Linked DNA regions of Rattus norvegicus. The protein of the gene in region 1 interacts with the protein of each later gene in a pairwise test. Links are inferred from orthologs where the notes say so. Each region holds a gene or a part of one and is shown in the gene's direction. Other genes may lie near its edges. The genes, in order: Dzip3, Atxn1, Zfp24, Hnrnpul1, Hnrnpf and Zcchc10.

Evidence for each region.
Region 2: the proteins of Dzip3 (region 1) and Atxn1 interact in binary tests that used the Homo sapiens proteins (3 or more experiments, as listed by UniProt). The link is inferred for Rattus norvegicus from reciprocal best matches to the Homo sapiens genes DZIP3 and ATXN1.
Region 3: the proteins of Dzip3 (region 1) and Zfp24 interact in binary tests that used the Homo sapiens proteins (3 or more experiments, as listed by UniProt). The link is inferred for Rattus norvegicus from reciprocal best matches to the Homo sapiens genes DZIP3 and ZNF24.
Region 4: the proteins of Dzip3 (region 1) and Hnrnpul1 interact in binary tests that used the Homo sapiens proteins (3 or more experiments, as listed by UniProt). The link is inferred for Rattus norvegicus from reciprocal best matches to the Homo sapiens genes DZIP3 and HNRNPUL1.
Region 5: the proteins of Dzip3 (region 1) and Hnrnpf interact in binary tests that used the Homo sapiens proteins (3 or more experiments, as listed by UniProt). The two-hybrid records come from large-scale screens. The link is inferred for Rattus norvegicus from reciprocal best matches to the Homo sapiens genes DZIP3 and HNRNPF.
Region 6: the proteins of Dzip3 (region 1) and Zcchc10 interact in binary tests that used the Homo sapiens proteins (3 or more experiments, as listed by UniProt). The link is inferred for Rattus norvegicus from reciprocal best matches to the Homo sapiens genes DZIP3 and ZCCHC10.

Annotation. Positions count from the first base shown.
Region 1 is NC_086029.1:65,284,745-65,288,989, forward strand, and holds the start of Dzip3 (E3 ubiquitin-protein ligase DZIP3), read left to right. Parts: upstream 1-1,445; 5' UTR 1,446-1,610; intron 1,611-4,245. Other genes in the region: Cip2a (cellular inhibitor of PP2A), read right to left, coding at 1,023-1,124. UniProt on the Homo sapiens protein: E3 Ubiquitin ligase proteins mediate ubiquitination and subsequent proteasomal degradation of target proteins.
Region 2 is NC_086035.1:18,942,387-18,946,568, forward strand, and holds the start of Atxn1 (ataxin-1), read left to right. Parts: upstream 1-1,382; 5' UTR 1,383-1,575; intron 1,576-1,632; exon of another isoform or gene 1,633-1,786; intron 1,787-2,723; exon of another isoform or gene 2,724-2,865; intron 2,866-2,901; exon of another isoform or gene 2,902-3,103; intron 3,104-3,263; exon of another isoform or gene 3,264-4,182. UniProt on the Homo sapiens protein: Chromatin-binding factor that repress Notch signaling in the absence of Notch intracellular domain by acting as a CBF1 corepressor. Binds to the HEY promoter and might assist, along with NCOR2, RBPJ-mediated repression. Binds RNA in vitro.
Region 3 is NC_086036.1:15,579,162-15,583,458, reverse strand, and holds the start of Zfp24 (zinc finger protein 24), read left to right. Parts: upstream 1-1,497; 5' UTR 1,498-1,569; intron 1,570-1,623; exon of another isoform or gene 1,624-2,044; intron 2,045-4,058; 5' UTR 4,059-4,138; coding exon 4,139-4,297. UniProt on the Homo sapiens protein: Transcription factor required for myelination of differentiated oligodendrocytes. Required for the conversion of oligodendrocytes from the premyelinating to the myelinating state.
Region 4 is NC_086019.1:90,383,871-90,387,370, reverse strand, and holds part of Hnrnpul1 (heterogeneous nuclear ribonucleoprotein U-like protein 1), read left to right. Parts: intron 1-715; coding exon 716-841; intron 842-3,237; coding exon of another isoform or gene 3,238-3,240; coding exon 3,241-3,394; intron 3,395-3,500.
Region 5 is NC_086022.1:152,767,481-152,771,528, forward strand, and holds the start of Hnrnpf (heterogeneous nuclear ribonucleoprotein F), read left to right. Parts: upstream 1-1,248; 5' UTR 1,249-1,502; intron 1,503-2,983; 5' UTR 2,984-3,044; exon of another isoform or gene 3,045-4,048.
Region 6 is NC_086028.1:37,970,231-37,974,258, forward strand, and holds the start of Zcchc10 (zinc finger CCHC domain-containing protein 10), read left to right. Parts: upstream 1-1,228; 5' UTR 1,229-1,238; coding exon 1,239-1,267; intron 1,268-4,028.

The DNA of each region.
Region 1 (4,245 bases):
AAATACAAACGATTTTTGGATCTGTGGAATACTTACATAATTGTACCTACACATAATATAAATAGGAGTCCTGTTAGTACATGTAACCTGAATGAATTGCCCTGATTGCTCAATACTCAGCAAAAGCAACCAAATGGACTTAGAAGATAGGCACTTGTGACAGCCATTCCCAGTTGTCATCTAGACTACATCTGGAATGAACTACAATCCAGAAATGGAGGGCACACCTGCCCAGATCTGGAGGCTGGAAGACACAGTCTTCAGAGCCAGAAATCGACATGGGATGACATGCTTTTGATATGCTTTTGATCCAGATCTTGAGGCATAGCAGCCATGAAAAGCGTAGGCCCAGATTGAGGTAAATCTCCTGAGTTCAAGGCCAGCCAGGAAAGAGCGAGTTGCAAATCCAGGTGTGATGGTACATACCTTTATGGTCTATACCTTTCACTGGAGGCCTACATAAGGACAACGGAAAATGGAAGCCTCACTCTTCTTTGCCTGCTTAACTTGCTAGTTGGAACCTACTTCTTCAGGATTCCAGTTTATACGGAAGACCAGCTGAAACAAACACTCGTGGGAGTGTACAACTATGAGATTCTCGGACTTCCCATCCACAGCTCCCCATTGTTGGGTTAGTTGGAGTGCAGACTTAAAGTCATTACAATAAATCCCCTTAATGTACGGGGATAGTCCATAAGTTCGGTGACTCTAGAGAATCCTGACTAATACAGCACCTTAAAAAGATCAGTAAAACACACACACGCACACATACAGTGATCAGCACCTTAAAAAAGATCAGTCACACACACGCACACAAACACTGCGATCGCTTGCACCCTGAAGCCTCCTAGTTCGGGTCAAGACCACAGTCCCCTCCTGGCACTCACCCGAAGCGCACAGCATCACCAGTGCAAGGACAGCGAAGCGGCTGCAGGGCTGTCCAGGGCCAGACCGCCACTAGCCAGCCCAACAATAACGGGATTACTGAAGGGGACACCCACTCGCGCCCCAAAACTCCTTACCTCCAAGTGCCTCAGAAGCTGAGTGGCGTTCGCCTCCGACTTAACGGCTTTGTACTGACTGATGCTCAGGAGCAGGGACTTCAAGCAGGCGGTGGAATCCATGCCGACGGGCTGGACTGTCAGCGACAACAGCCCAGCAGCTCGCCTCGGTATCCAGCTGTCGCCGCGCTTTTTTTGATTTTTTTAAGCTCCACCCCTCCCGCACCCGGCTGCTTCCTGTTCCGGTCGGACTCCGGAAGTCCCTGAGCTGTCTCCGGGACTGCTGCCTGTGATTGGCAGGGTGGGCCTAGGTTCAAGGCGCTGGGGTTGCGGGAAGGTGGCTGGGAGCCGCCCCCCGCCCCACCTCCGCAGCCCCCTTCGGCCGAGAGGCCGCGAGGTTTCAGCTGGAGGTCCGCGAAGACGCGGGATCTCGCGAGACACGCTAGTGCTGCTCAACCTGTGGAGGGCCTCTGGGATGCACGGGGGTCCCTGGGCCGCGCGGGCTCTGTTCCCCGGGCCTTTCCTCGGCCTTTGCGCTGCGGGGTCTGCTTTCCGTCTGTGCCTCAGCCTCAGCCCGAGACACGGTCGCTTCCCCCTAGTCTAGACACGGTGAGGAACTCAGAGCAGTATCTGTGGGGCTTAGGTTTGTCGCGGCGGGGGAGGGGCCTCAGGCTCTCCAGCACCGGTCCCTTGTGTCCACAGACGACTTGCACGGGGTGAAGCCTGTGGCGGCCCGGTTCCCGTGACAAGTTAGCCGTGGCTTTACAATACGATTTCTCAAGACTCGACAGAGAGAGAGAGAGCACCCCGGAGTTGCTCCCGAATGTGTTCATTCGCATCAGCGTTGATTTCTATAGGATAAGGGGTTTGTTCTTGTCTGGCATGATTATTTTGCACATTTCTGTGGCGTCAAAAAAAAAAAAAAAGTGACACGGTTGAGATTTTTTTTTTTAATCAAAGGTACTGTGCACGGATATATAACGAAGTGAGTCAGCAACTGGTTTAGGAGCTTAAGCTAGGTTGTGGAATATACTACATGCCCATTTGACTAAGAACGTCTGAAATGTGTGAATTTGGGAAACGCTTTTTTTTTTCTTTCTCGTTTGCATGGGTACCCTTTAAAGACGTCACCAATTTTGATATGAAGCAATAAAAGTAAAGCTAACTGATGACTGAAAATGATTGTGCTGTTGAGATGTTCACGTAAGAATTTGTAGCTAATGTATTCATTCGTGCATTCGTTCATTCCATTTTAAACAACTACATATAACGGACTAGGGATTGACTGTCACTCAGAACAAAGATGAGGATGTGCTGCCTGCAGAGAAGCAACCATCTAATAATAGTCTAAATTGAAAAGTACTGTTGTAACTCACTAATAAACGAGAAATGCATCATCAATAAAACGTAGAGCCAGTTTGCCTATAAATATTTTTGCATCTTTCTCTTTGTGTCTCATTTTACCGCTTCAATCTTTCCGTGAAGTGAAAACTAAGAGTAGTCTGTTTTACATGATAGTTTATTCAATCAATTCTTATTTGAGCTTCCACACTGGAATGGACACCGTTCTGGTCACTATATACTTAGTCTGTGGACATTGGGTTTAACAATCTAGTGATAAGACTGTAATAAGCCAAGGAGAAAAAAACAATCTAGAATAATGGTGATCAGAACAGGAAAAGAAAAGGTCAGAATAGACCTCACTGGAAAATTGTGTGCTCGCGCTCTCTCTCTCTCTCTCTCTCTCTCTCTCTCTCTCTCTCTCTCTCTCTTTCTCTCTCTCTCTTTCTCTCTCTCTCACTTTCTCTTTCTCTCTCTCTCTCTCTCTCTCTCTCGTGTGTTCTCTCTCGTGTGTTCTCTCGTTCTCTCTCTCTCTCTCTCTCACACACACACACACACACACACACACACACACACACACACACACACACACACACACACACACACACACAGAGTCTTGAGGAAATACTTTGATGTGTGCCAGGTGGAGCTTAAATTAGTTTCACCTGTTTTTAATGGCATGGAATTAGGAAACAAAATTACCTGTAAAATTAAGCTTCATAGCTTGTATATTAATAGAACTTGCATCAATAGAATAGCAAGTGTTGATTTCTGGTTTTCTAAACCCTTGTAGACTACATTTGAAAAATGTCAACTCTTTCTCCATATTTAAATTTTTATTGATATAAAGTTATATTTATTATTCCCTCAGTCTCTTATAATTTTAGATTTCCATTTTGACTCTAGTTTCCTTTGTTCTGCTTTTGAGGACTTTATTGATTTTTACTAACTTTACAGGCACTATCTTGCATTTTGTTAATACTTTTTTTGTTCCAGAATTACCAGGGTTTTTGTTTTTGTCTTTGTTAATTATGATATACACACAGTCATTACTTGTTCTTTTTCCGTTTTGTAAAAATTGGACGTGTAGTACATTTCTATAGGTGTATGTATGAAGATATATGTGGTTTTTTTGAGATTGAATCTCATGTAGCCTAGGTGGCCTTGGACTCACTACTTACTCAGGAATGATTTTGGACTCTTCTGTATTTCCTATCTCTTGAAAGTGCTGGGATACCTAGCATGTTCTGTTATATCAGCTTATAGTGTGTTTTCAATATTTTATGTCAAGAATTTTTAAAGACACTCGCTAAAGCAATGGTCTTTTATTTTGTGTTAAAATATGTAAAATCATATTAACAAGCTAAGTATTCATCAAATATTTCAAAGGGTTTGTCTTAGTTAAGGTTTCTATTGCTCCGATGAAACACCAAGACCAAAAACTACTTGGGAGGGCAAGGATTTATTTGGCTTATGCATTTCGAATCACAGACCATTGAGGAAAACCAGATGAAGGGGCCATGGGATGGTGCTGCTTACTGGTTTGCTAATTGTGGCTTTTTCAGCCTGAGCCCTCTCACAGAAGTCACTAATTAAGAAGCTACCTTATAGGATTGTCTAGTGTCCAGTCTTTCAGAGACTCAACTGAGGTCCTTTTCACATGACTCTAGGTTGACATAAAAACTAGCCTGGACAGAGGTTGAAGTCTGTCGGGGAGTTAAGTGTTACTAGGAACAATAGAATGTTACTAGGAATACATTCTAGATGAAAGCCAGTTTACTCATTCTTCAAGGATTAGCATAAAATCCTTCCTTAAGATTTTATTACTGTCTGTGGTTTACGTTTTGCCTAGTCTCTTGAATTTATAATGCAGGAAAGAAGCATGAAAGAAATAGTGCTTGCT
Region 2 (4,182 bases), on another chromosome or scaffold:
TCGGTGACTCTGTACGCTGCTTCAGATAGTGACTAACTGTTAGGTCCTACGTAAACTGAGCCAAAAGGTCTCTCAAATCCAGCTACAGTCAATAGTAGTGGCTTCCAGCGAGACCAAGGGATCAAGTTTCCAGACTCTTAGTTTTAAGCACCTGAAAGAGGTCAGATGCTGGCCTGACACCTACTGGTCTTCAAGAATTATCTGCAGCAAAGAGATCGCCACACCGAGCGACCCTCCTGGGGAGGTGCGGGCTCTTCCTTCGGATGCCACACCTGTTGGCAAGGTGCACTCCTCCGGAGAAGATTCCTTCCCACGGAGCTCACACCCGGCTGAGGTGTAGCCGGAGGGGGCGGGTGGGGACTCCGCGTCTGCGTTTAGCCACCGGGCCAAGGTGGGAAGTTCTTTCGCCTTGGATTCCCGAGAACCACCATCCACTGCTCAGTGCACGGGTTACCTCACTTGAGATGAGATGAATGGTCCACAGTTAGCTGTGAGGAGTGAGCAGCAGTTCGGTTACCAGGGCTAGAGCTGAGACGTTCGATGCTCATAGCAGATTTCTAGACCAGCAGAATTTGAAAGGAGGCCCAGGAGGTCGCCAGCTTGTCCAGGCAGGAAAGGTGAGGGTGCCGGTGCAAGCTGGGGAAGCCTGAGAACTTTCCGGAGTTGCAAGCCAAGGCAGAAGGCACCGGCCTAGCATCGGGTGGCTCAGGACTGGCGGGCTGGCTAGTTAACCGCGGGGATACAAAGAGTCCTCTTAGATGCTCACCAGGGGCACCCTGGGTGCTTCGTAATTAGAATCAGCCGACTTCCCCGCCCCCTTGGGTATTTTACCAGGTGGGAGTCAAAGCCTGACACCCGTTGCTCTGAGTCTCCCAGGTTGCCTGAGTTGCACCCTGCACTCACCCTGTCCCCCTCCAACTAGGTTGCAGGGAGCCGGGGAGGCGCGCGAGCACCGATCGGTCACCACTCCAATGACCTCATCGCCCCAACTTCCCCGCCCCTTTCTCAAACCTGGAAGGCACAGTTCCCTCCGGTCGGTGTCCGGGATCTGGAGTCGCAGTTGCGGAGAGACACCCGGCCTCCCCTGGAGCGAGCGCTGCCCCAGCCCGGGTGCATAGAAGGGTTAAGGGCGCGGGCCGGCAGCCGCGCCGTGCGCTCGCCGTGCTCTGTGCGGCTCGCCGGGCCGCCTGCCAGAGGGTGCCTCTCCCCCCCCCCCCCCCCATGAAGTCGGATCCTTGAGCTGCGGCGGCGGCAGCCAACTGCTCCATATTTGGCTTCTATTACACATTTACATACTGGAGCGAGCGAGCGAGCGCGAGAGAGAGCGCGAGGGAGGGAGGGCGGGCGGAGGGAGGAGGGAGGGGAGGGGGGAGGAGGAGGAGGAGGAGAGAGCAGAGTATACCGCAGACATCATTTCTACTACAGTGGAGGAGCCGTACAGGACCTGTTTCACTGCAGGGGGATCCAAAACAAGCCCCGTGGAGCCGCAGCTAGAGCTACAACAGCCGCAGGACACTGTGTCTCTCCCTCTGTTCCCCCTTCCCCACGCAACCCCAGATCCATTTACACTTTACAGTAAGTGGCTATTTTTTTTCCTCCTCTGATTCTTTCTCTCCCCCCTCCCCCTCCCCCCGATTTAGATTAAAATCACCTCCTCCCGCACCCCAATCCGCTCTCTCCGGAGAGGGGGCCAAAGAAACATCCAGCATAAAACCCCCCTCCCCCAGTCTCAATGGGCTGCACGGAAAACAGCTGGAAGAGGAGCGAAGGAAACCGACGCGTCGTGGTGTGTGTGTGTGTGTGTGTGTGTGTGTGTGTGTGTGTGTGTGTGTGTGTGTGTGTGTGTGGTGTGTGTGCAGGCGCGCGCGAGTGTATGTGTGACTGTGTACATACACCAGTGCCCGGCTCCTGCCTCCCGGCTCGGGACCCCCACTGGGAGCAGGAGCGGCTAGCAAGGGGAGCAGCTAGGGGCTGGGTGGGCGGCCGCCAGGAGAGGGGGCGCGCCCGGGCGGGGGGCGCGGGTGGGGAGAACGGCGGCGCCCCGCTCCGGCTGCTGCTGGTCCGGCGGCGGCGAGCGCATAGAGCCCCGTCCTCCTCCTTCCGTGTGGCGTAGGGGGAGGCGGCAGCCGCGGAGGGTCGCGCTGCCCTCTTCACTCCTCAACAGCCCCCCTCCCGAGTGGGGGCGGCGAGCGCTGCGGGGGCTCGAGGGAGGGCTGGGCTTCCCCGCCCGGGGTCGCCTAGCTTGAGAGAGGCAACCCCGAGCTTGGGGTCTCCCCGCCCAGGCCAGCGTCTCGGGGCCAGGAGGGGACCTAGAGGGGACTTGCAGGAGGCTCGGGGGCGCGGAGAGGTGGCGGCTCAGGGGGCAAGGGCACGCGGGCCATCGCAGCGCAGTGGGAGAGGCGACAGGGACCGGCCCTAGCTGCAGCCGCCACCGCCGCCCTGTTGGTGCGGCCGCTTCCTGATCCAAAGCAGCAGCAGCAGCAGCGGCAGCCGCCGCCACCGGAGCTGGAGCCGGGAGCCGGGAGCCGGGAGCCCGCGAGCGCCCCAGCTCGGCCCGGCGTCCCTGCCGGCGCCCGCGGCAGTAGCGGAGGAGCTGCGGGCGCTGCCCTGCGCCGGGACTGCTCTCCTGCGCGGCGGCAGGGAGGGTGAATGAAGACGGGAGGAGGGGAAGGAGGAGGCGGCGGCGGAGGAGGCGCTGCGGGGATTGGGATGTGCCCCGGAGCCCCGCGGCTCGTTCACTCGGGGCCCGAGACGCCGCCACTGCCCGGGCTGCCGCCGCCGCCGCCGCCTCCTACGTGGTTGCAGCCGAGCGCGCAGGCCAGTCCCGCAGGGGGTAGGGAAGGGGCCGGACGGGCGGAGCGAGAGGTGAGGCGGGGTCGGAGAGCAGGGAGTAAGTGCGTGTGAGTGTGTAGGTGCGTGTGTGTGTGTGTGTGTGTGTGTGTGTGTGTGTGTGTGTGTGTGTGTGTGTGTGCGTGCGCGTGTGTTCGCGCGCCGGGCGGGGGGCCAGGACCATCGCGATGGGGAGTGGGGTCCACAGTGGTCCCTTAGCTGACTCTGCAGCCCTTCGACCTCTCTTTAGCCACCTCCTTCAACTCTGTGGCTTGTGAGCTTTCATTTTATTTCAGACCACGTAGAGAGCTGACTGCAAGCGGTGAAACAATTCAGGTTTTCTAGAGAGATTGAGCAAGGACCTTAGTGGTGGGGGGTGGAAGTAGGGTGCTGGTCTAGACTCTACCAGGGGCGCCGGGTGGGGGTGGGGGGCGGGGTGGGAGAATCAGGGTTCTAAGACGAAAGGGTTTAGTTCGATCCCGTGGCTGTCCTGTTTTGTTTTTGCTTTCTTGCTGTATAATCCTACAGATAAGAGGGTAATATAAATACTTGGGAAGGTTGGGAAATTGTTGAAGAGTAGTAAGGGCGGAAAAAAAAAGAGCCAGTCGGAAGCTGGTTATATAATGCGCTATGTGGCTAACAAGAAAGGCAAGCTATTTTTATTTTGTTTACCGTATGTTGTGCAGTAGGAACTCCTCCAAACTGGTTCTGTCCCCGAAGAGATTTCTTAGTTTGTCAGAGAGAGAGTCACAGGATACAATTAGTAAAATTAGAAGACCCCACACCACCTACAGAAGAAAAAGTAATGCTTTAGAGCTCTCACCTCACATCCTGCCTGGCATGCAGGGGAATGTGTGTATGTCCTATGTTTCCCTGTAGCAATCTAGTGGTGTCATCTCAGTGACATTTCTGTTTTATAATGCGAGCTCTTCTTAATATTTAAACAGCATTGCTATAGATCGTAGGCAACAAGGTAGTTACAGGCTGGGTATTTTTAGGTACAGCTGGTTACTTTTTGCAAGAGTGTTTGCTAAACCATTTCTGTGTGGCTTTTTGAAGAGCCCTGTCATTCCTAGAAGCCCTCGTTAAGCCTAAACCTCTGGTTTATTGATGGTGGGTGGGTAGCTGAGACAGTTTGATAGCCGAGGGTTTTATTTTTATTTTTATTTTATTTTTGAATGAAGCTTATGCCAGCGGAAGCTAGAGGTAGCCACCAGAGAGAGGAAAAACATGCACAAGCCCTCTTGGAAAGGGATTGCACCATAACAGCTTAACTGTGGCATTTAATCTCCTCTGATTGTCCTCTAACTGGCCACGCATCAGTCAATATTTTAGCAGCTTTGCAAATAAGTG
Region 3 (4,297 bases), on another chromosome or scaffold:
AATGTCACATTTTTTACTTGAGTGGGTTTATTATGTTTTTCAGTATTAACTTGCTATAAAATCTCTTAAAGAAACAAAACAAAGTATGCTTTGAGTTAGCTCTTCGGAATCACAATAGACAAAAAGGTTGCAGAGAACAGCCAAGCCGGATCCTGTCTACAGCCAAACAGGAGATGGGGGAAGGCTGTACTAAAACCTCACAGTGAAGAGTGAAAAGTTACAGGGGTTGTGGGAAGGTGAGCTCTGGCTGGAATGGGAAGTCTTGCTATTCTGTGAGCTGCTTGTTTACTGCTCTCTCATTCACTAACAAGCAGAGGCCGAGGACACTTTGCAGAGGCCCAGGACACTTTGCAGAGGCCCTTCTGAATGAGACAATAGGGCAAGGCTTGAGGATCCTTTAAGTGTTCTGCAAACTTGACCTTTGCTTCTAACAAGACTTTTTCCAAAACAGAGCTCTTTTGTGCGATTTCCGAGACTTGACATGTGACCTAGCAAAGGCCGCAGGCAATGTGACCAGCCCACAATTGATGCATTTATTCAAAGTGTGCTTACTGAGTTTTCTATGTACCAGCCAGCATCCTGAAACTAGGGACAGGGAGGACCCAACTTTTTACAAGACTTTCAAACAAAGCACAGCTAAGTAATGCGATCACTTCTCAGAGTGTCCACAAGCATCTTGAGGCCACCTGGAGGAAAGGGCGTTCATTGGTCAGTGAGGCTGAGGCTGTACAATAAGTCCAAGTCACGCATGGTCAGAAGGCAAAGGCAGGCAACAGACCAGAGATGGCCTACAGAACAACGTAACAATTATTTAATGTCAAGGTAGTTGAGGTAGCTGAAATCCACTTTAAATAGGGAAATGAGGCAATCTAAGTGATTATGACTGCAGCTCTTTTTTTGGCATCAAACAACCAGCATGAGTATATTCTGCAATTCTCTGTGACAAAGGTCTCAACTATCTTGTTTCTTTGATAATCTGTCATAATCTTTGAAACACAGTAGTGGAAGACAATGGTTTGGGGCATGTTTAGAGGCAAACCTTGTTTCAGGGCCAAAGGCTCAATAAGTAAAGATGTGCGGGTAAAGAAAAACGATTTACACGTATTGTACAGCGACGGTGCCTGACACGATCATGGCACGTTTTCAGAACGTTTCAGAACTCTGGAGTAAGCTAGTTACTCCAGAGGGCTCCGGCGAGGAGCACCGGGCACTTGTGAAACTGCCGCCCACGTTCCTCCTGCTCCCCTTTCCTTTCTCTAAAGTGGAACAGAGAGCAACAGTCACTCAGTGAGAGGCGCAAGGCCAAGCGCAGCCTCAATGCGGCCATTGTCATCAAGCGGCACCTCCCCCGCTCACCGCGCGTCCCCATGGCAACTCCGGGCTTCGGCTTCCCCATTCCCTCCCGCCCCCCCCCCCGTCCTGCGGACCGGAAGCCGTGCGCGCCGGGGGCTTGTGGGAAGCGGCTGAAAGCGGCGGCGCAGCGTCTGCCCGGGACGACGAGGCTGTGGCGGGTCCCGAGCCAGAGGTCAGCAGCGCGCGGGGGTAGGGTTCGAGGAGGCGGGGGCTCAGGTAAGGGTCCAGAGGCCGGCGACGCTCAGCATTCCGGGCGTGCGCATAAAAGGCCGCGGCGGCGGAAGGGCGGCGGCGACCTGCGGCACTTCGGGGGTCCGCAGAGCCTCCAGCGCCCGCATCCTCTCCGGCCTGCTTTCCCCTCCCCCACGGGCCGGTTTTGTTCTATTTCGAGGCTCTAGCGGCTCGCGGAGGATTCTGGGAGACGCTCAAGCCGAGGGGGGATCCGGCCGTTCTCGCGCGCGACCTGCTGGGATTTGTAGTCCCGCCGGTCCCGGGCGGAAGTGCCTGTCCTGTGTGGCGGGGTGGTTCTGGGGCTTCTGCAGCCCTTCCTGGTGAATGCTGGGAAGAGGACGTCCGAGTTGCTGGGGCAGGCTGGGCTCAGCGCTGTGAGGCGGGCGGTCGCTGAAGACCAGGATCCCGCCGAGTGCCGGACGGCGTTCCTCCACATCCCACGAGCTTGGTGCAGTACAAAGTAAAAGAAAAAGCAGTTTCTATCACATAGAAATGCTTGATTGCTGATAGAATCGGGTCCAGGAATAAGAACTTAGATTTTGATATCAGGCCATCCCACTCCTGAGTGTCTATATGACCTGTCAGTTTGAGACAGCCTTTTCTGATCTTTTGTCTTCATCTTGATCGGTTTCAATATGGTTTTCTTAAGTTTCTGTCTCTTAAGTTCTTGGCTCTAATAAACAGTAGCCGTAAACTTATTATTCTTTATGTGCTGTAAACCGTGGCACGGCTATGATTTTGCAAATTCCAAAAGCATCAGAAAGTAGCTCAGATTTCCCCAAAGGAAAAGTTAGGGGAAGCTTCATCAGGGAAAAGACTCCCGTACACTGAGAAGTTGTGAGTGCTTTTTCCTAATAGAATTTGCTGTGGTTGAAGCTTGTCACTGTAAGTTTAAATGTATGTATGGTGTGGTGGAAGCCTGAGTAACATTTGTATGTTATGTGAAATAGTTCCTTCCCCAGTGTTATATGATCTGTTACTGAACTGTGTAAAAGAAAGTCTGTGACAAGATCTAATAGCCCAGGTTGGCTTTGCCACATGGATGACCATAATCTTGCTTCTGCATGTAAAGCCTACAATGTTGGGCTTTTGGGCGCATACCTATCTACTAGTGAACATTTTTCGCATATATTTTAAGTTTAGGGAGTTCCTAAACAAACATTAGAGTATTTGTGACAATTCTGGGGATTAGCTCAGCAGTAGAGCATGATGGGTAAGGATAGTCTCTCATTCTGGGGGATTCTAACTGGGAGAACGGTTGATCTATTTCCTACTCCAGGTTTGCAAAAAATGAAAAGTAGGGTGCCTCATCAGGTCGGGGGCTTGTTCCCAAGATCCCAGATTGCACATAGCAGGAGGGAACTAATGTCCCCTGACCTCCACACCTGTGCTGATGTGTTCCAACACGAAATAAATGTCAAAAAACATGTTTTATGTGTCCTACTGTTCTGAATACTTAGTTTGTTATTTTATGTATATTTGCACTGTGTGTTTGCCTGGTGCCTGAGGAGGTGAGAAGAGAGAGGAGTTTGTGGTTCAGGGAAACAAACCAGGGTCCACTGCAGGGGAATGCATTCTTAACTGCTGAACCAACTCTCCAGTCCCAAGCTTCAGGACGTTTGGAGAACACTGAGGTAGACTGCATCTTACCCAGATACTGTAGGCTATTAAATTACCCTTTGTAGACTATATGTCACAAATTAGCAATCTTTTTTTTTTCCTAAAAAGAGCAAGCTGGTAAATATTACATTGTTTTAGATCTTAGCTGAAATCATTGAATACTGTCAACTCTACCACATTATAGCCCAAACCACGATTAAATTTAATGACTTATATACACAAAATGTAAACATATTAATGGGGCTGGAGAGATGGCTCAGTGGTTAAGAGCACTGGCTGCTCTTCCAGAGGACCCAAGTTCAATTCCCAGCACCCACATGGCAGCTCACAACTGTCTCTAACTCCAGTTCTAAGGGGTCTGACATCCTCACACAGACATACATGCAAGCAAAAACAGTGTACATAAACCATTTTTAAAGACATTTTTACATCTTGTGTGTGTGTTTGTCTGTCTGTCTCTGTGTGTGTGTCTGTCTGTCCCACTTGTGAAGACCAGACTTGCAGAAATAATTTTTCTCTTATGTACATGTTGGTCATTGGACTCAAGTCATCAGGCCTTTGCCAGATGAGTAACCTTGCTGGTCCTAGACAGACACATCATATTTTCTCAGCATGAAGTATTTCTGTACTTTTTTAGTCATTAAAACGTTTACACTACTTCTCTACGGATGGTGTAGCAGGCAGCAGGGTAAATAGGCTGTGGTTTACCAGCTATGGCAGACTTTCAGTCAGTGTAAGTTATTGATTTCAAGTTTTAATCAAGTAAAGCAATGTATCTCTTTTTTTTTCCTTCTGCTTTTCGAATATCATGGGGTACTTGGTGATTTATGTGTTTTTTATTTCTTGTACCTTAGGAGTACTTTTGAGGAAAACAGGGTATTTCTGAGGTCTGTACCTTGCCTCAGTTGCCTTTTCTTGGAGGTATTGTAACAGGATGTCTGCCCAGTCAGTGGAAGAAGATTCAATACTTATCATCCCAAATCCAGATGAAGAAGAAAAAATTCTGAGAGTGAAACTAGAGGAGGATCCTGACGGTGAAGAAGGATCGAGCATTTCCTGGAACCATCTCCCTGACCCGGAGATTTTCCGGCAG
Region 4 (3,500 bases), on another chromosome or scaffold:
ATGGCATGCATTCCATAAGTAGTTACTATTGCTATTCTTATACCTCTTCGTCACCTCCTGATCCCACAGAACACTTTTCCTAACCACTTCTAGCTCCAGCTGTTTGGGGACCTATTCCTAGTGAGTCTGGAGGCCATTATGATCCCAAGGTTTGTACACTGCATTGCCTGTGCTGGCAATCATAAGCACATCTAAAGGCAGGGGCAGGCAGGAGTATTTTAAGTCACAGACGAGTGGAACTGTTCAGAGAACTGGTTTGTGCTCCAAGTTTTGAAGACGGGGCCCTGAAGTCAATTCTAAGCAATTCACTTTAGAGACTAGTGTTAACTACTCAATGAATGGTACATCATTAGAGTAACTCCTGTTTTTCTAAGTTTAGGTTCCAGATTAGAAGCTACTCTAAAGATGTATTGCTTAGAGAAATCAAGCTGGACTTATTTCTTTGACTTTACAATCTTGTTTTCCCCATAGGACTTCTTCCTCAGTCAGTTTAATGTATTCAGTTTCTACAGAGCCTGGCGTGGATCTGTTTGTAGACTTCTGAGACACAGAGACATAGCCATAGGAAGTGGGGAATCTACTGCTAAATAGGTTTCCATTTAAAGGTGGACTTCTGACTTCTGATAGTCTGTTCACCTGAGTGAAGACAATGTCTTGGTTACAAGAGTACTTTCAAATGCATTAATCTAACTGATTTTTGTTTTTTAATCTTAAGATGTCATGGACAATATTACCAGACAGAACCAATTCTACGAGACACCGGTCATCAAGCAAGAAAATGAGTCTGTCTATGATAGGAGACCACTAGACATGGAGCCACCACAGCAAGCATATCGCCCAGGTAGGAAGGCTCCCACACTTTCTTCCTTGATGGAAACAGAATCTAAGACCTTGTGTCTTTCTCTTGGGCAGTTCTTCTGGCCTTTGTCCTTCAGGCAAGGTGGGTTTGTTTGTTTGTTTAGGCTGAGATTTAGATTTTATGCTATTTGGGATTCAGGGTTTTATTTTTGTTTTGGTTTATTTTTGGGATAGCATCCTTACTATGTTGTTCAAGTTAGCCTTAAACTCAAAAAGGAACTGGGACTGGCTTTGTAGTCTTGATCCTTCTGCCTCCTTTCCCTCCCAGTTAGTTCTGTTTGGTTTTGAAGAAGTAACACAGTCTGGATTTCTGGTATCTTTCTAGGTATTAGTGCTAGCATCTGGAGAGTTTAGACCAGGGTGCCAATGCTTTATCCTTAGAGTCTTACCATGCAGAAGCCAAAAAGAGCTTTCTGAATCCAGTATGGTGTTGCCTCTGTTCTGAAAATGATGCTCCAGCAGACTAGGAAAGGGTCTTTCATTGGAAAGGGGTTCTTTAGCCAGATACAGCTGGAAAGGGCAGCAGAGAAGTTCAAGATTGAAATAAACCTCATACTGTATATTTAAACTCAGGATTTTTAAAGCACATGCCTATATTATTTCAGAACAGCATTTTCTTTTTTTTTTTTTTTAAAGATTTATTTATTTATTATATATAAGTACACTGTAGCTGTCTTCAGATACACCAGAAGAGGGCATCAGATCTCTTTACAGATGGTTGTGAGCCACCATGTGGTTGCTGGGAATTGAACTCATGACCTCTGGAAGAGCAGTCGGGTGCTCTTAACCGCTGAGCCATCTCTCCAGCCCCAGAACAGCATTTTCTATAAGCAGGGAAACATAGGTTCTCCCCGTCTTATGTGAGGACATGTTGTGTGGTGGCAAAACGGAGGCTAAAACCCAAGAAACTGGCTCAGACCAGTGTTCATGATACATGAGCTTTAATTTTCTTGCATGTAAATCTGTTTAGGGGGGAAAATCCTGCTGTTGAAAATGGCTGGCCCATAACTGTTAATGCTCCAAAAAAGAAGTTGTTGGGTTTTTGTTTGTTTGTTTGTTTTTGTTTTTTTGAGTCAGGGTCTCACTATAGTGCTAAACTGTTGTAGATCTTGGGATCCTCCTGCTTGAGTCTCCCAAATGCCTAGATTACTCATGTGTATCACTATTCCCAGCTCCAGTGCCTTTGCTCATGAATCTAGTTGATCCTGTCCAATTCCATTCTGCTTCATTCACAAAATAAAATCCCCTGCCGGGTTAGTTATTGTTTTCTGGTTTGTGTGTGTGTAGAGGGGAGACTAGGGACATTAAGGAATGTCAGTTAAACTGTAGGTTTGTGTCAGACTGTGGGGTCATTTGACTGGTACCCAGCACCAGTGACCTCCTCTGAGTCTGACTTGTGCTTAAGTCATGGAGGCGGCCATCAAAATAACTGAACCCAATCTATGCCCTGGAAAACCAGGGAAATTGCCTCAGGGATTGTGTCCATATGACAAAGCTAGGGAGTAACTTGAAGCGAGCGCTGGGATGAGCAGATATGAGTGAGTCACATCAGCATCAGTAGGTGGAGATGGTGCCCTCTTAGCACCCTCTCAGAAAGTAGGGCAGCATGGGTCCACAGCTTGCTCTTTTTTGGTCATCCATTCATGGGATCTGTCTGACTGGGGCTTTCTCAGGTCCTGTATGTTATCCCACCATAACATCTTGTTCGATGTGGTATGGTGAAACAGACTGCCAGAACAGCTGGTCTGCCCACTTGGCCAATTGGGTTTTGTAGAAAATGGCTGAAGCCAGAAGAGTTTACTGTAGACCCACAGTGCTCTGCTGATCTCACTTCCTCCCTACCTTTGTCAGAAAGAAGCTCTGCAATAATGAGGTGGAGGTGGAGGTGAGGGTAGGGGACAGTTTAACTCTTGTTTCTCAGAGTTTACAGGATTTTTTTTTCTTTTTTCTTTTTTTCGGAGCTGGGGACCGAACCCAGGGCCTTGCGCTTCCTAGGCAAGCGCTCTACCACTGAGCTAAATCCCCAACCCCTTACAGGATCTTTATAGTCTCTTAGGGCTCACTCCCTCTCAGTGTAGGCCAAGGTTACTGTCAGCATTCATGAACTGACAGAACGTTAGCCAAAGACTCTTGTTGTACCTTTGGGTCATTTGGGGGATCTTGACTGTATTTGGTGTTGAAGGGCACCATCTCAAGGAAGGGTGTCACCTGGCCAGCAGACTGTCACCCGCACAGCCTCATATTATTCTGGCCTCCTTGGCTCACTCCTAGGCCTCTTAGAGCTCAACCCTTCACTGTAGTCACAAGCCTGCCAGCATCAGGGGTAGGAGAACCTGAGGGTTTTTCCAAGTATCTTGACCATCCTGATGCGTCTGACAGTAGAACTGAAGACAGAAACGAAGCAGGAAGCCCCACCCAGCTTCCTCCCCCCTGAAGCCTCGCAGCTCAAGACAGACAGGCCACAGTTCCAGAATCGAAAGAGGCCTTTTGAGGAGAATCGAGGCCGTGGGTACTTCGAGCACCGAGAGGACCGAAGGTGGGTACATGAGACAGCACTCACTTGTTCTCATTGAGTAAAAGCTCAGTGAGTAGGGCACAGTGGAGTTCTCTTTTCCCTAGTATTCCTTCCTTACTGGCTGCCA
Region 5 (4,048 bases), on another chromosome or scaffold:
AGTGCCTTGCCCCATTTTTTCTGGGCCCTCAAAAAAAAATGAGAAGTGACTGGATTATTTCAGAGGCCAATTGCTTTGAATTAAGATTTGTGGTTGCCTGTTGGGTGTAGATTTTATAAGGTTCATTTTTTAAAATATTTATTTAACGTATATGAGTACATTGTAGCTGTCTTGAGATACACCAGAATCTGTTAGAAATGGTTGTGAGCCACCGCGTGGTTGCTGGGAATTGAACTCAGTGCTCTTAACTGCTGAGCCATCTCTCCAGCCCCTATAAGGTTCATTTTTATACATATGGGCCAACTTAGGTTTAAAAGTCAAGCACTCCTTCCACTACGGCGATACTAGGGATCCAAACCTAGTCAGCCTCTAGGGCTCTGAGGGAACTCGAGTAGTCCCGGCAGGTCTCGAAATCAGCTTGGCTCTGCCTCCAGAGTGATGGTATTAAAAAAATGTATGTACCATACCGGTCATTAGTTTATGTAAAAAAATTTGAGACAAGGCTAAATGATGGGATTAAAGGCGTGCCGCCACCAAGTCGAGTCGGGAGTTTTTAAAAGTTAGGTTATCGTGGAGTCGGCGGGCAAATGAAAAAAGTGTAGAGTGTCTGCAGGTTTCCATTCTGTACTCCGAGTTGATTTGGTTTTACTTGGCTGAGTCTGTCAACGCTTCGTTGCATTCGCCTTTCCAACTGTAGCGGGTAGTCTGTACTTTGCTCAGGTGGCTCCTTTACCCAGAACTCAGCGAGGAGTCTTCCCCTTTCCTTTCCCTCCTTCCCCCACTTCCGGCGCCGGCCAAACCCACCGTTCGCGGGCCACACCTGCAGGCACGCTTTTCTCATTGGTGACATATTGGCGGGCCCGGCAGGGCACTTCCTCCTCTACACCCCGTGACCCGAGTCCGACTGCCGCTGTAGATCACGCGGCTGCTGCTTCCCGGACTCCGGACTCGAACGCCCGTCTCGGCGTGGTGAGCCCCGCTTCCCGCCCGAGCCCCAGGTTACCGGCTGCGTACTTGACCTGCTCACCTTAGAAGTTTCCCTCTTCGAGCTTTTCCACGCTTCGGCCTGCGCGAGTTCTTACTCCAGCCCTCTTCCCCGCCCTCTGGATCTTCCCCTCCCCCACCCTCCGAGGCTCAGGAGCCTCCCTTCCCCCCGCCCCCGCCCGGAAGCTCCCGCCCGAGCCCGCGCAAGCCCCGGGGCGGACCTTCCTGCCCGGCCGGCGCTCGCTGCGCGGCGCGGTCGACTACCGGGCGAAGGCCGCGGAGCAGCGTCACCTTGCCCTCCGCCCTGCTTCCCGCCAAAACGCTCGTCTCAAGGGGCTCCGCTTCCGCAAAAGCGTTTCCCCTGGTCATTTGAACTTCCATTTCAGGTTGAGAACAAAAAGAAGATGCACCTGGACTTTCCCCGGAGCCCTCTGCGTTTTTAAGGCGTCGGGTGGAGTTGGGGTTCGTAAGCCGCGTTCGTTATTGAAAATAGAAGTCACTTCTACCTTCCTCCCGTGGTAAGTTTCAGAGCAGAAAAAGGCAGCAGCTTTGAAGCCGCGGCTCTCCTGGTCTTAAGAGTAGAACTTTCTGAGTAAGAAAACCTGCCTGGATGCGCTCCCGGCGTTCCGGAGGTTAAAACTCATTTACAAAATGGAGGGAGGATGAGGGCGGGCTCCCAATGAAAACTCCGGCGACTTCCTGGAACACAAAGATGCATAGAGGAGGGTGCAGCAAGGCTCCCACCAAGCGGGCCTGAACAAAAGAACTAGGTGGGTGGCGCTTGAGCCGCCCTGTTTGTTCAGCCGATAAACTTAACTAGTCCAGGATTCAGAGGGCGCACCTCTTTTATCTTACCTGGATCTACCTGAAGGCAGTGAAAATCCAGTTTAACCAGTATCACTGACTGGGTAGCTTGTTAGAAAAAAGTCTCAGCCTGTTTGTTTATTTTAATAGTGCATTTTCTTTAGTGTTTAACTTGTGGAAATGTAGGCCTAGCCTGGCTATAGTATAGGAGTCAGTCGCCCAAAATGATGCAAATGGTTTCAGTAGCGTGTCTTGCAATTAAAATCAAATGTCTGGGTGTTCTAACAGTACTTACAAAGACCCGCCATGCCATCTTCTCTTTTACTGGGCATGTCTCCACAGTTCACATGTTCACGGGTCTCGTGCCAGTGGCTTAATGTAGGTCTAGCTGCTAGCTGCATGCAGTATAGTGTCTCCAGGGAGGCCCACAGGTATTGTCTACCACACTAGAAGTAAAAGGTTGGAAAAAGGGGATCGAGTCATTAGAATTTCATGGACAGGAATATGGTTGAAACTCATTAAAGTGAAGCCCTGTTTCAGGGTCTTTGAAACTATTTTCAAAATGGGTTTTTAGCACCGACACCCCAATATCTTGCATAATTTTGGAAAATGAGACAATGCAACTGCAGTTACCCCTATTTTAAGACAACAGGCAGAATAGCCTACCACATTTCCAAAACGAAGAATGCAGCATAATTTGTCATAGGATTCAACCCCTTTCCTCACCATTTGGGAGAAGCTTTGTCACATAGGTTATGATAAAGCAAAAGGCATTGGAGACCCTTCCCCACCTCCAGCATGGAGAAGATAAATAACAGGAGTGTTTTTTCATTTCCAGAGGAAATTCATGCTGGCCTGGATGCCTATGCTACTGAAAGGGTTGGAAGTCTTGGCATAAAGTGCCCACTAGATCCCTGCTCTATTTAAATTTTAAGTTTCTCCTACATTTAAACTAAGCTTAAATTAGTTCTGCTAAGTTGTTTGCTGATGTCCTCTACCCATGAAAAGATGAAATATAAATAACCAGGAAACCTAAATATGTTGGTCCTAGGGCTACAATGTATTTCTGGATTTGAGAAAGAAACTTAGCTTGCTCTGAGCCTAGCTCCCAGGAGGTCCCCTTCTGTACGATGATGAATGGAATCTGAGGCCACGAGACCAATCTTGGGTTTTGTGTTTGTTTTTATTTTTTAAGGAAAACTTGTTATCTTCCATTCTGTGTTTCCTACAGAAGGCATCTGTGGTGGTTCTTTAAGGTAAGCTACTAAAAGATACATTTAACTGTAAGACGATTAATTTGTTAAGCAAAGTTTAGTTTTCTTTGAAGAACTGTCAGTTTTAAATGCTTGGTGAGTTTACAGTTAAGTCAAACTAAAGAACTATGAACTTCTTGGGGGGGTGAGTAAAAGCAAGCTGTAGGTGTTGGTTGACATGTTACAGAAAAGAATGCTTTCTTCCCCTGTTGCTGAAACTGCTTATAAAGTACTTGTTCCTTATGCTTCTTACATGTTTTTAGCTTTGACTAAGCTGCTATACTCTGAAGGAAGGTGTTGACCCTAGGTGGACAGTAAATCCCTAGCTAATCCTTGACCTGCTGTGGTCTGTTCCCTCTGCTAAGGATGAAGTATTGGACAACAAAATTGTCCTAAGTAGGGTCCCAGTGTAGTTTTGAAGACCTTTTAAAACTACAGAGAAGGTTGTTATGAAAGTAGAAAGTCAGACTTATTGTGGGACGTGAGAAGATGTTATTGGAATGGTAGTTGCGCTTAGATAACCCAGAGGATTATCAAGGTTTAGCTGGACAAGGTTGGGCAGAGGATATTTGGGTGGAGAATTATTTGATGTGTCAAATCCTCCAGGGAACAGTGGGGAAATTAAAGGAACTAAGGAGTAAAAAAGAATGATGGATATAGATTAAGAATGTCTGTAGGATCCAAGGATTCTTTTAGTTCAGTCTCTGTTCTAATAACCAATGGGAAATAGGGCTTAGAAGTGGGGCATTGACATAATTGGGTTACAGTTGTTAGATAAATCTTAAGATTGTGATAGAGTAGCAGGGAGTGTAAGTGTTTTCATTAGAGTTAAGAGACGCTAGGAATATAGGAGTCAGGAATTTTGAACGAGTCCCTGTGGCAACACAAGGCTGCAATTCCATCTACCAGGAGGTGGTGAGGCAAAAGGTCTTAAGTTTATTATTATGGTCAGCCTAAGCAACTAGACACACAGTTGAATCATTTAAAAGTGGCTCAGAGGATTTATG
Region 6 (4,028 bases), on another chromosome or scaffold:
ATCCATACACATCTAAAAGAGAGAGAGAGAGATCTAATAATACTAACAGTGAGGCCAATACTGGTCCCATCAGAGCTGTGAATGTATCTTTTATTCACCAGATGTAATTGTCATCTCAGAGGTTTGCTACTGAATAAACCCATCCTTTCTAGTTCTTTCTGAACTCTGGCTGGTTGGTTCAGCCTAAACTCTCTGAGCTGACGCATTAACCTGCTTCTCTCAGCTTCTGACAGAATTGCTCTACTTGGCCTCAAACTGACTCTGGCAATCTGTTCTAATCTTCTGGTCCCTCTCTCTCTCTGACTCATTCTGTCTTCAGACTGAAACCTGTCTCTGTAAAACTGTCCTGGTAAAACTGCTCGCTCCCTCTCTGTCTCTGTCTCTCTGTCTCTCCATCTCTCCCGCTCATCTTGTCTCCGTCTCTGTTTCCCTCTCCCTACCCCTCCTGCTCTCAAGCCACTGATTCAACCAAACTGACTAGAACTCAGAGATCTGCATGCCTCTGTCTCCTGAGTGCTGGGATTAAAGGCATGTGCTGCCACACCTGGTTCTAAATTTCTTTACCTGGAACTTGCTCTGTACCATGCTGGCCTGGAACACGTGTCTGTATTCCGGCCAGTTATGATCCCTTTCCAGAACAGTCATATTGCTGGATTAAAAACTCCTCTACACAGATCTTTCACAGAAGGGAAAAACAAAACAAAACAAACCAGCGTGATCCAGTCATCAAGTTGACACCTGTAATTTCTTGTGGCTTTTGGTGTTTTGCTTTTTAAGACGGAGTTTCTGCGTGCAGCCTTAGTTTTCCTGGAACTTGCCGTGTAGGCGAGGCTGGCCGTAAATCCCAGCAAGTGTTGGAATTAAAGATACGGGCCATTATTGCCTGGCTTTTTTGTTTTGTTTTTGAGCTAGGGCCTTATATGTTTTTCCACGTTGGCCTTGAACACGTAGCAATCCTCTTGCCTCAGTCTCCAAAATGCTTACAGGATTTTTGATACTACAAAATCCTACTCTATATAGATCCCTCGTTTGCGATCACCCTTCGAGGCCGTATTCATACTCAACACAAGACCCGCATTAAAGACAACAAACCAGCTAGAGGCCACCAGTCGCCTCTACTGGGATGAGCTCCTCTGGCCCCGACCAGAACCTCAGAGGTTGTTAAGGGCCCGCCCACCCGTCTGAGTTTCCCAAAAACCCGTGCGGCAGACTCCGGCCGCTTCAAGATGGCGACTCCCATGCATCGGCTTATAGCTCGGCGGCAAGCGTGAGTAAGACGCGTAGTGGGGTCTGCGGGAGGGCTGGGGGCGTCCAGACACCGGTCGGTAGCCAGTGCCGTTGCGGGACTGAGCGGGTTCTGAAGGGAGTCCGAAATGAATCCAAGAGCTGGTCGCTGGGTGGTTTGTGTCCCTCTGTCCGTTCCACACGTCAAGGGTAGCCTGGATGCACGGTCCTACATCTTCCCTTTCAAGGATCCAAACTTTTCCCTCTGCTGCGTTTCCCGCCTCCTTCTTATCGCCTTTCCTAGAAACAAACCTAACTTAAATGCCTATTCATTTCCCATCTACCGTCTCACTTTCTGCGGTCTTCTCAGTAATTACTTTAGTACTAGCATTCCTTGACAGTTTCAGTGTGAAGAAAATGTATTCAAGACACGCAGCTTACAGTTTTGTTGTGGAACCTGTTGGTACTCTAAACAAGTACAGCTAGTGGATTAAATAGCTTTGTTGAAGCACCACGATGGTGATGCTTCCAGCAGTCAAGAGGCAGAGACAAGTGGATTTCTGAATTCGGAGCCAGCCTGGTCTACAGAGTGAGTTCCAAGACAGCCAGGGGTACATAGAAAAGCCCTGTCTCTCGAAAAACAAAACAAAATTAAGCTTTATAGGAAGTAAGAGGTTGTAATGGGGAAAGGGAAAGGCCCGTTTCAAGTTAGTTGGGTTAGAAACGCATCTGCGGAGGGGTGACATTTGAAGAAGACAGACTAAAAGCCATAGGAAGGACAGAGTCACCTGAGGATTTGGGGAAAGATAGACAGTGGTATAATTGCTTTGAGTCTGTTAGAATTTAGGGGTAAGTGGGGGGAGATTTAGGGACAGGGTTTCTCTTTGTAGCCCTAGCTGTCCTGGAATATCTGTAGACCAGGCTGACCTCAAACTCAAGATAGGTGCCTGCCTTCTGTGTGCTGGGATTAAAGGCATGTGCCACCATGCCCAGCTTAAATAAATATTTTTACCTTTTTTTTTGAATCTCAGTAACTATCAGTCCTGGTGGCAGATGCCTTTAAATCCCAGAGCTAGGGAAGCAAAAGCAGGTGGAATACTGTGAGTCAAAGCCAGCCTGGTCTACATAGCAAAACTTCAGGTTAGCCACGACTGTATAGGAAGACTTTGTCTCCAAAAAGAAAAAACAAAGTAACTCAGTAGCTACCCATTCAGTGGTGTAAGCGACTTAAGGGGCCGAGACTGGGTAATTGAACGTGAATTTGAGTCCAGCCTGGAAGACTTCATCTTAAAACTAAACCCTCCAGTTACACCCACTCTGTATGGCCCTGTGAGGTGGCATGTTGTGTTTCTGAAACCTATCAAAAGTCATACGAAACTGAAAGGAAAACACTGTTTATGGCTCTAGTACCTGCATGCTTTGAACTTTCTTGCTCCTGACCTAAGCTATGATTTATTAATTAAAAACCTGAATATTGGGCCAGATATTGGTGGATTACGTTTTTAAGCCCAGCACTCAGGAGGCAGAAGCAGGTGGAACTGTGAATTCAAGGCCATCCAGGTCGACAACAGAGACCGTGTCTTAAAAACAAAAACAAGGAGTGTTTTCCACTTAAAGGTCATGAGTCGGGCTGGAGAGGTGGCTCAGTGGTTAAGAGCACTGACTGCTCTTCCAGAGGTCCTGAGTTCAATTCCCAGCAACCACACGGTGGCTCACAACCATCTGTAATGGGATCTGATGCCCTCTTCTGAAGTGTCTGAAGAGAACTACAGTGTACTAATATATAAATAAAATAAATAAATCTTTAAAAAAAAAAGTCATGAGTCTTTCCTTGTTTCATATTGCTTCTCCTTTTGGTTTTTCAAGACAGGGTTTCTCCAGGCTGACCTCATAGAGATCCTCCTGCCTCAGCCTCCTGAGTGGTAGGATTAAAGGCCTACACTTGTATTGCTTTTCTTTCTTTCTTTCTTTTTTTTTCTTCCTTTCTTTAAGATTTATTTAATCACTTTATTCACACACACCAGAAGAAGGCAACAGATCCTGTTACAGATGGTTGTGAGTCACCATGTGATTGCTGGGAATTGAACTCAGGACCTCTGGGAGAGCAGTCAGTGCTCTTAACCGCTGAGCCATCTCACCAGGCCTGTATTGCTTTTCTTAACAGGTTTATCTTCATCTTTGCTAAATATTTTTCTTAGATTTAGTATACAGTTCCATTGTGTATTTTTGGTTTCTGGCTGGTCATCCATCATATTCCCTGTCCCATCCGTTTTGTTTACCACAGATCTCCATTTCACTCTGTTCTCAGTCCTGCCTCACCCCTCAGGATCCTGGGATTACAGGAGTGCACTGTGTCTAGCTTTAAAATAGCTTAACTTTCTTCTTTATATAATATTTCCAAAGGCTGAACCGAGGAGTAACGTACGCCAAGCAAAAGTTTCACCACAAAGCCCGACAATCCCTCTCTATGTGCCAGTCTTTAGAAACATTTTTTTTTTTCTTTTTTTCGGAGCTGGGGACCAAACCCAGGGCCTTGCGTTTGCTAGGCAAGCGCTCTACCACTGAGCTAAATCCCCAACCCCTAGAAACATTTTTTAAAAGCTATTTTATGTGTGTGAGTGCTTTGGCTGCTTGTCATCTCTACAGCATGTGTGTCCCTGGTGCCCTCGGAAGTCAAAAGAGGGTGTCAGACCCCTTGGAACTGGAGGGAGAGATGGTTATAAGTCGCCGGATGGAATCTGGGAACCAAACCATTTATCCTTTGCAGTAGCAGCAAGTGCTTAACTGTTAAACCGTTTCTCCAA